Linked DNA regions of Sus scrofa. The protein of the gene in region 2 interacts with the protein of the main gene of each other region in a pairwise test. Links are inferred from orthologs where the notes say so. Each region holds a gene or a part of one and is shown on either strand. Other genes may lie near its edges. The genes, in order: ZNF639 and PNKP.

The links.
Region 1: the proteins of PNKP (region 2) and ZNF639 interact in binary tests that used the Homo sapiens proteins (3 or more experiments, as listed by UniProt). The two-hybrid records come from large-scale screens. The link is inferred for Sus scrofa from reciprocal best matches to the Homo sapiens genes PNKP and ZNF639.

What each region holds. Positions count from the first base shown.
Region 1 is NC_010455.5:117,380,472-117,384,716, reverse strand, and holds the end of ZNF639 (zinc finger protein 639), read right to left. Parts: intron 2,446-4,245; coding exon 2,311-2,445; intron 2,175-2,310; coding exon 1,021-2,174; 3' UTR 739-1,020; downstream 1-738. UniProt on the Homo sapiens protein: Binds DNA and may function as a transcriptional repressor.
Region 2 is NC_010448.4:54,873,588-54,877,884, forward strand, and holds the end of PNKP (bifunctional polynucleotide phosphatase/kinase), read right to left. Parts: intron 4,020-4,297; coding exon 3,940-4,019; intron 3,861-3,939; coding exon 3,803-3,860; intron 3,723-3,802; coding exon 3,615-3,722; intron 3,278-3,614; coding exon 3,206-3,277; intron 2,279-3,205; coding exon 1,904-2,278; intron 1,820-1,903; coding exon 1,723-1,819; intron 1,632-1,722; coding exon 1,570-1,631; intron 1,411-1,569; coding exon 1,301-1,410; intron 1,214-1,300; coding exon 1,126-1,213; intron 1,043-1,125; coding exon 981-1,042; intron 903-980; coding exon 785-902; 3' UTR 739-784; downstream 1-738. UniProt on the Homo sapiens protein: Plays a key role in the repair of DNA damage, functioning as part of both the non-homologous end-joining (NHEJ) and base excision repair (BER) pathways.

The DNA.
Region 1 (4,245 bases), on a different chromosome or scaffold from region 2:
TGTGGCTCAGCGGTTAAAGAACCCAACTAGGACCCATGAGGATGAGGGTTTGATCCCTGGCCTCGCTCAGTGGGTTGGAGATCTGGTGTTGCCGTGAGCTATGGTATAGGTTGTAGATGCAGCTTGGATCCTATGTTGCTGCAGCTGTGGTGTAGGCTGGCAGCTGTAGCTCTGATTTGACCCCTAGCCTGGGAGCTTTCCTATGCTGCGGGTGTGGCCCTAAAAAGCAAAAAAAAGAAAAGAAATGACTTTATATCTGAAGTTTAGGGATTACTTTGCAGTTGTATAACTGAAAATGAAATGTGATTATAATCTATTTCATTTATAAATGAGTTATGAAATGCTACCTTATTGTCTAATTCCTTTCCAGTTCCTCCCCACCCCCATCTAAAACTGACACAAAGATAAGGGCTAAAATAAAGGGGAAATAAAAAAGAGCGCCAGCAAAACCAAATCTTTCCTTCTTACCCTAACACTGGCCTCCTAGTGTCACTGAAAAAAAATCACAGAGAGGTAGAGCACGCTGATTGCCTTGGGGATAATAACCTGATGGGGAATGCCAAAGGAGGGTCTGGTTCTTACTAATGGGAGTGTCAGTGGACTTAATTGTGTACAGTGTTGCATTTTAGTTCTGGTAGTGCAGTACTTCACACATGAAAAACTGAGGTTGTTTTGAGTTTAAAGAAGAAAAAGTTTATAGCACCTATGTTTACAGAAGGAAAACCGTAGTCTAGTTTCTTCAGTACATCTGTTTCTTATCAATTTATGAAATCAGAGCACATGCAAGAAACAAGATGACAGTCACCAAAAGTGGTAAAAACTACAAACTACAATGCATCAAAAATACCACATTTAGGATAAATTACATATTGAAAAAGCTAGCAATGCCAAAAAAATTGGAGAATTAAAAAACTTGTTAAAGACAATTCTCATAAATTGTTTAAAATCATCCATTTTAACATCTTCAAAAAAGTCAAATTTATTATATTACATCAACATTACGGAAGTTAAAGAGAACAATCAAGAAGTCTCATGGACTGGAAGGTGACTTATTAATTCCCTTTCATTTCCAAACCTCATCAAGCAGTCACTACATTTATGAGGTAAATCAGCTGAATGTTTGAAATCTAGATGAATTTTAAGATCTTCAATCTGTCCTGTTGAATATTCACAGTACTGACATAAATAAATGCCTTCTGATAAATGTGAATTTAAATGCTTGCAATATTCTAGCATACTTGAAAAGCCTTTCCCACAGTCATCGCAAACATGAGGAAAAATTTTAGTATGTTCAATAGCAACATGCCTGTTAACGTTTGTATGAAGTCTACTCCGAAAACCACATACTTGACATACAAAGAAGTTTTTACATTTGTCAAAGGTAATTTTGCTTAAGAGGCTGTACTGTCCGTGTTCTCCATTGTTATACTTATCACTTAACTCTATTAACTTACATGCATGCTCATTTACCACATGGCTGTGCAAGTCTTCTGGATCATTTGTTTCATGTTCACAGAACTGACACAAGTACTGTTCATCACAGCTGTGCTCCTGGAAATGCAAGTAGAGTTCACTGCTTGAGGAGAACTGTACATCACATTGCTCACACCAATAAAGATGATCACTAAAATGGGTGTCAGCAATGTGCTGGCTAAGGTTCTCGAAAATAACTGTCTTATAATCACAGTATTTACAAATGTAGGGATCCTCTTCATGCAGTTTGGCATGTTCAATCAGAAGCATGTTGGTAGAGAAACTTTCTTTGCATACTCGACACACATTTGAATCAGTTCGTTTATGTTTCAAGATCATATGCTGCTTCAAATCAGAAAAGTATTTGCTGTTGAACTCACAAAGTTCACATTTATAAAGGCCACTGCTATTAGCTCTCAGTAAAGGCCATTTCTGCTGGGCAGTCACATTCAAAGCTTGGCTCTTATCAAGAATTTTGCAAAGTTTAGCTGGTGGCTCTTCATCAGTTTGGTCTTGGAGACTCTCAGAGGAATTGTTTTCTGCCTCTATATCATAATCTTCAGAAATTGCATGCACTTCTGCAGCAATTGGAACATCTTCAGCAGTGTGAACTTCTATAGCGCTTTCCTCTTGAGTCTGCTGGTTGACTGACTCAGGGGAGTCACACTCTTCATCACAAATTTCAATATCAGCAGATTTTTCTGAAAAACAAAAAAGCCTATTATTACTAAATAAGACCTATTAAATAAGTAATTGGCAGAAAGAAATTTATTTTATGTGTTATTTCTTCATTAATCTATACAAAATGTGCAAATGCTATTAATTAGTTTCCCTTACCTGTAGAAAAGGCAGTGTGGTCTAGAATTCTAAGTACAGGACTGGGAACCAGGTAGTTTTGATTTCTGTTTCTGGCCTTGATTCCATCTGTAAATTTTGGCAAGTCATTTGATGTCTCTGTATCAGAATCATCATCTGTTACAACGGATTTGGAAAAATATTTATATCAAAGCATTAAACATTACTATAAAAACAAACCACCAAATGTTTTAAACTTAGAATTCCAACACAACTAAGGACTTAGATTTAGGTATGAAAAGCTTTGTTATCTGTATACCACAGATACAAAGAAAATCTGTCCAAATAACAAACTAATGCTTCCCTGCTACATTTGGACTAGAATACACTTCTTAAAGTTACATGGGAATTTTATTTTTAAATTACTGAATTTGAATAAGTCTCTGTTCTCTCAGTCCAGCCTCCAAAATTTAAAATTAGCAAGGACAAACTGAAATGCCAGTCAGTAGAGAAAACTGGGTTTCAACATGATGTCTTTTGAAAATAGATTTTATTTTTTAGAAGTTTCAGATTTATAGAAAAAGCAAAATAGGACAAAGCATTCTCCTATATTCTACAGTTTCTCTCTATCAACATTTTACCTTAGGAGTTCCCATCGTGGCTCAGTGGTTAACGAATCCGACTAGGAACCATGAGGTTGCGGGTTTGATCCCTGGACTTGCTGAGGGGGTTAAGGATCAAGCGTTGCCCTGAGTTGTGGTGGGGGTTGCAGATGCGGCTCGGATCTGGTGTTGCTGTGGCTGTGGTGTAGGCCGGCAGCTGCAGCTCTGATTAGACCTCTAGCCTGGGAACTTCCACATGCCGTGGGTGTGGCCCTAAAAAGACAAAAAAATATATATATATATACATATATATATATATATAAAACAAAACAAAAAACATTTTACATTAATATTTGTTATAATTAGGAGATCCCCTAATTATGGCTCAGTGGGTTAAGAACCCAACATAGTGTCTGTGAGGATGTGGGTTCAATCCCTTGCCTTGCTCAGTGGGTTAAGGATCTGGCATTGCTGCAAGTCGAAGCACAGGTTATAGATGAGGCTCAGATCTGTTGTTGCTGTCAGTCCCAGCTCTAGCTCCAACTCAACCCCTAGCCTGGGAACTTCCATACGTTACAGGTATAACCGTAAAAAGAAAAAATAATAGTTACAATTAAAGACCAATACTGGTAAGTGGTTCTTAACTAAAGTCCATACTTCAACTTGATTTCCTTATTTTTTTAAATTACTCAATGCATTTATTACATTTATAGCTGTACAATGGTCATCAGAACCCAATCTTATAGGATTTCCATCCCACAACCCTAGCGCATCCACCCCCCCCAACTGTCTCCTCTGGAGACCAGAAGTTTTTCAAAGTCTGTGAGTCAGTATCTGTTCTGCAAAGAAGTTCATCCTGTCCTTTTTTCAGATTCCACATGTCAGTGAAAGCATTTGATGTTGGTGTCTCATTGTATGGCTGACTTCACTCAGCATGATAATTTCAAGGTCCATCCAGGTTGCTAAAAATGCTATTACTTTGTTCCTTTTAATGGCTGAGTAATATTCCATTGTGTACATGTACCACATCTTCTTGATCCACTCCTCTGTCGATGGACATTTAGGTTGTTTCCATGTCTTGGCTATTGCAAAGAGTGCTGCAATGAACACTGGAGTACATGTGTCTTTTCCAGTCATGGTTTTCTCTGGATAGATGCCCAGGAGTGGGATTGCTGGATCAAATGGGAGTTCTATTTTGACTTTTCTGAGGAATCTCCATAATGTTTCCCGCAGTGGTTGCACCAATTTACATTCCCACCAACAGTGTAATAGGGTTCCTTTTTCTCCACACCCTCTCCAGCACTTATTGTTTGTAGACTTTTTGATGATGGCCATTCTGGCTGGTGTAAGGTGGTACCTCCTAGTGGTTTTTTTT
Region 2 (4,297 bases):
TCAGCCCCTCCCACTATACCCTGCCCCCAGGTCAGTGCTTCTGAGCAGGGGACCCTGGGGACCACAACTGCCCAGCGAGATGGAGGACAGCGTCCTGAGATGTCTCCAAGGACGGTCCCCCCCCCCCCCCCCGTATGTTTCCCTATTAAAGTCTTTTAAAAGTCTTGTGGCCACCAGCTCACTGACCAGACAGATACCCTCCTGTCCGTGGGCGGCCACACCCAGAACCTAACAGCTTCGCAGAGGAGATTCTCTCTGAGATCATGTCACCTGAGCCAGGTGGGGACGGGCTTCGGGTCTGGGTGCTGCTTGTTGGGCGCCGGGTCTTCCAGGGCTGACTTCGCGGCAGCAGGGCCGGCTCCCGGAACCCCACTCGACCTCCGGGCCTCGCATAGCTGGGCGCAGACGCAAGGCGGCGCCCCGCAGCTTCCTGCCTCTTGCTGCTGGTCTTGCCCGCAGGGGCCCCCTCGCCACTGCAGGCCCAGGCCACAGCCCCGGGGCTCAGGTCCAAGGTGCAGAGCGTCTGGCTTCTCCGCCTCTCCTCTTGGGGTCCCGCGTTTGGCCTCGCCCGCCTGGGTGGGCTCTGCAGCTCCAGGAGAACCCCCCCTGGGGCCTGTCCGCTGGGCCGCCCAGCCAGAGCACCCGCAGAGCCTGCGAGGGTACGTTTCTGAAGCCCCGCCAGCAGGCTCAGCACTCCTGGGGGCCCCCCTTTCTTCCCAGCAAAGTGCTGGTCACGCATGAAGAAAAGAGCGTTTATTGGGCATTGGGAGCGGGCAGGGGTGGCTCAGCCCTCTGAGAACTGGCGGTACAGCCGCTCAAGCTGCGGCGCCACGTGCAGCCGGAACGGGATCTCCAGGACGGCCGCGAAGCCTTCGGCCAGCGTGGGTGCTTCGAACTGCTTCCTGGCGGCAGAGGGCGACGGTGGAGGTGGTTCCTACCCGGTCCCCGGGTCCCCGCCCCCCGCCGCCCGAGGCACCTGCCTGTAGCCGTAGATGACGATGTCGGACACGGGGACGTGGGAGGGGTCCGTCATCTCCCGGAACTGCGGGGACAGAGGGGGATGGGTCAGGCCGCGGCGGGGCCAGGGCGGGGGCGGGTCAGGCCGCGGGGCCGCCGCCGGCTCACCCGGTTGTTGTGACGCGCCTGCTCCAGGCTGGCGCTGAAGAGGAAGCAGCGGCAGGGGACGCCTGCGTCTCGGGCACACTTGATGTACCTGTTAGGGGCGGGCTGGTGAGGGGCCCCGGCCCACTCTGCAGAGCCCCCCCCCCCCCCCCGTCCCCCGGCTCCGGAGACCCGGTACCTGGCCCGGCTCTGGAGGTCCGGGTTCGTGTTATCGATCACGACCCGTTTCCGTTGCTTCAGAGCTGCCTCGCAGGTGGTCACGCAGCGCTGCCAGGAGCCCAAGGTGTCCTGGGGACCCAGGAAGAGACCAGGGGACAGGGACCCAGAGAGAAAGAGAGCCACAGATACAGGGTTAGGGACTTGGGCTGTGGGGGACCTGAAAAAGAAGGCGAGAGGTGGGGGGGGGCAGAGACCAGGGATGGGACGGGGCTCCCGGCAGGGCCCTACCCTGTTCACGTGGACGTAGCCGGCAGACACGAGATGCTCCCGGAGGAAGGTGGACTTGCCGGCTGTGAAGGGTGCAGCGTTAGTGGAGCCTGCCTGGGGCGGGGGCGCGGGGCAGGGGCAGGGGCTTCTAGGTCCGGGGTCGGGGAGTCTCACCCCCAGGAAATCCCACGGCGACGACCACCTCAGGGTCCGGGCTTAAGAGGGAGCTGGACTCGGGGAGGCAGAGAGGCCCAGAGCGGGAGACGGTCCTCTGGGAGGGGCGGACACGATGGGTGAGACGGGACCCCTGCCCCTCCCCTCCGCCTCCACTCCAGCGCCCAGCCCGAAGCCTCACCGGGTCAAAGGCTGGCAGCTCAAAGCGGGCCACCGGCCACTTCAGAAAGAACTCCTCCGGCGTGGCGAAAGGCAGCCCCAGGTTGAGGGCAAACTGGGGGCAAGAGGGAAGGTCAGACGGGGGCGGGCCGGCGCGGGGCGCGGGGCAGGGTGGGGCGGCCTCACCAGGCGGTCTGCACACGAGAAGTCCTTCTTCTTCCGCCCCGGGGCCCAGTTGGCTGGGCGTCCGGCTGCATCTGGAGCACACAGAGGACACACCCCCACCTCCACCAGCAGCCTCACGGGACGGGGGACCGAACCCACCCCCCTCAGCCCCTAGGTCCTTACCGCCCACAAATACGCTGTCTCCTATGGAGATGGGAACACCCTCATTGCCCTGGGGAGGGACAGACGACAGGTGGTAAGGAACCCACTCCCGTCCCCACCCCCACCCCGCAGAACACTAACGGCTCCCAAAGTGATGCTCGGCTTGCCCAGGGCCCCTCGCTAGGCCTGGTCTCTAAGCTCTGGTGCCCTGCGTCTAATCCATCAGCAAGTGCTATTGGCACAGCCTTGCTGCCACTCCTCACCCCCTTCACCAGCATCTCTCTGAACTATTCCCTCCCTCCTTCCTGGTTTCCCAGCTTCCATTTTGGCCCGTCTGTTCCCCGCATGGCCGCCAGAGGGCGCCGGCTCCTACCTAGTCCCATCCCTCCAGTGGGGTGGCCACCTGTGGGGCTCATGGGACCCCCTGCTCGCCTCCTCACCCGCTCAGGTGCAGCCACAGGGCCTCCTTACTGCCCATGAGTGAAGTGGGCTCGGTCCCACCTCAGGCCCCTTGTGCTTTCTACTCCTGCCTGGCCCCTCCTTCCCCTACGTGGCTCCCGCCCTCGGCAGCTTTAGCTCTTTCCTCAGTGGCACGTGGAGAGGTGTTCACGGCCTCCACAGCCGCAACGACACCCCGCCTTATCCTCGCTCTGCTGTCCTGTGCATCTCTCAAGGTCTCTATAATCTGTACCCTCCCTGATCCGGGAGCTGGCAGATCTGTCGTCTTCCCTAATATCTTCGGTCAAGAAGCTGTTGAGCTTCGGAACACACACACACACACACACACACACGCACACGAATGAATGAATGCACGAGCGATTTCCCTCTCGACCACTCTGGCTTCCAGGGTTTAAGAGCACCGGCCTCAGGTACCAACACTAGGACATGATAGCAAAGAAACTGACAAGACCATGCCCGGCAGGAGAGGAAGGTCATGGGCCAGAAACCGAGTGGGGAGGCGGAGGGAAAGGAGAGTCACTGGGAGCCCGAAGCTCACCTGTTCCCGCAGGTGGTCCCACATGCCGATCACCGGCTTCCGGTACAGGCCCGCATGGGTGGCCACCAGCACCTGTGGGCGGGGCGGGGCGGAGACACCATCCCTGGCTCCTCCTCTAGCACCCAAGGACACCCAAGGACACGTGGGTCCTAAGGATGCTACCACCCCGACGCTTACAATCCAAGGAGAAGGCCAGTGCCCCGGATCATGATGGGTTGCCATCAGCATAAACCCGCACCCCTACCCCACCATTCACCCAGGGTCTCTGCCCTCCCAGCTGGCTCTCCGTGTAATGCCTTCTCCCTGGGTCTCTGTTCCCTCCTCTCTGTCCCATCTCGGCGTCTGTGTGTGGTCCCCCCCCTCCCGCCCCCGCCCCGCCATAGCCCTTCGGCTTCCCTTGCAGCCATACCTGAAAGGGAACCCCCAGCTTCTCCACCACAGCCTCCACCTTGGCCTTGAACTCCTCCGCTGGCAGCTTCCCGCGTCCAATGCCCATCTGGTTGGTGAAGATCACCAGCTGGGGACAGATGGGCGTCACCCGGTGCCCTCATGAGGCCCAGGCCTGTCTAGCGTCCCCGCCACCACACACGCACACACCTTGTAACCCTCCGCGTCCAGTTCCCGGAGCTTCCGCGGAATCTCCAGGTACAAGATCCTAGGGCGGGCGAGGAAGCGCAAGGTGACCCGGGGTCCGGAGCGCGCCGCACTCACCCCCTCCTCCTGCCGCCGATCACCTCCAGTCGCTGGGGCCCGTGGGAAAGACCTTCCCAGATCGTGTGGTGATGAGGGTCCCATCGAGATCAAAACTGGCTACCTGGCGTCACCCGGAAAAGAGAAAGCGCAGCTCGGTTACACCTCTGATCCCCCTTGCTCACAGGCTGGTTTCCATCGACCTGTAGGGTGGGGAACTGAGTCACAGGGAGACGACACAGCTTTTGCAAGGATAAGTCATGGTAAGATGCATCCGGGAAACCAGAGGGCAGAGAGTGAAGGCTTCACCCCACCACCTCCTATTCCTCTCAGCCTCTCATTGTTTCCATCTTTAAAATGGGCTTCAGGAGTCCCCGTCGTGGCTCAGCGCAAATCTGACTA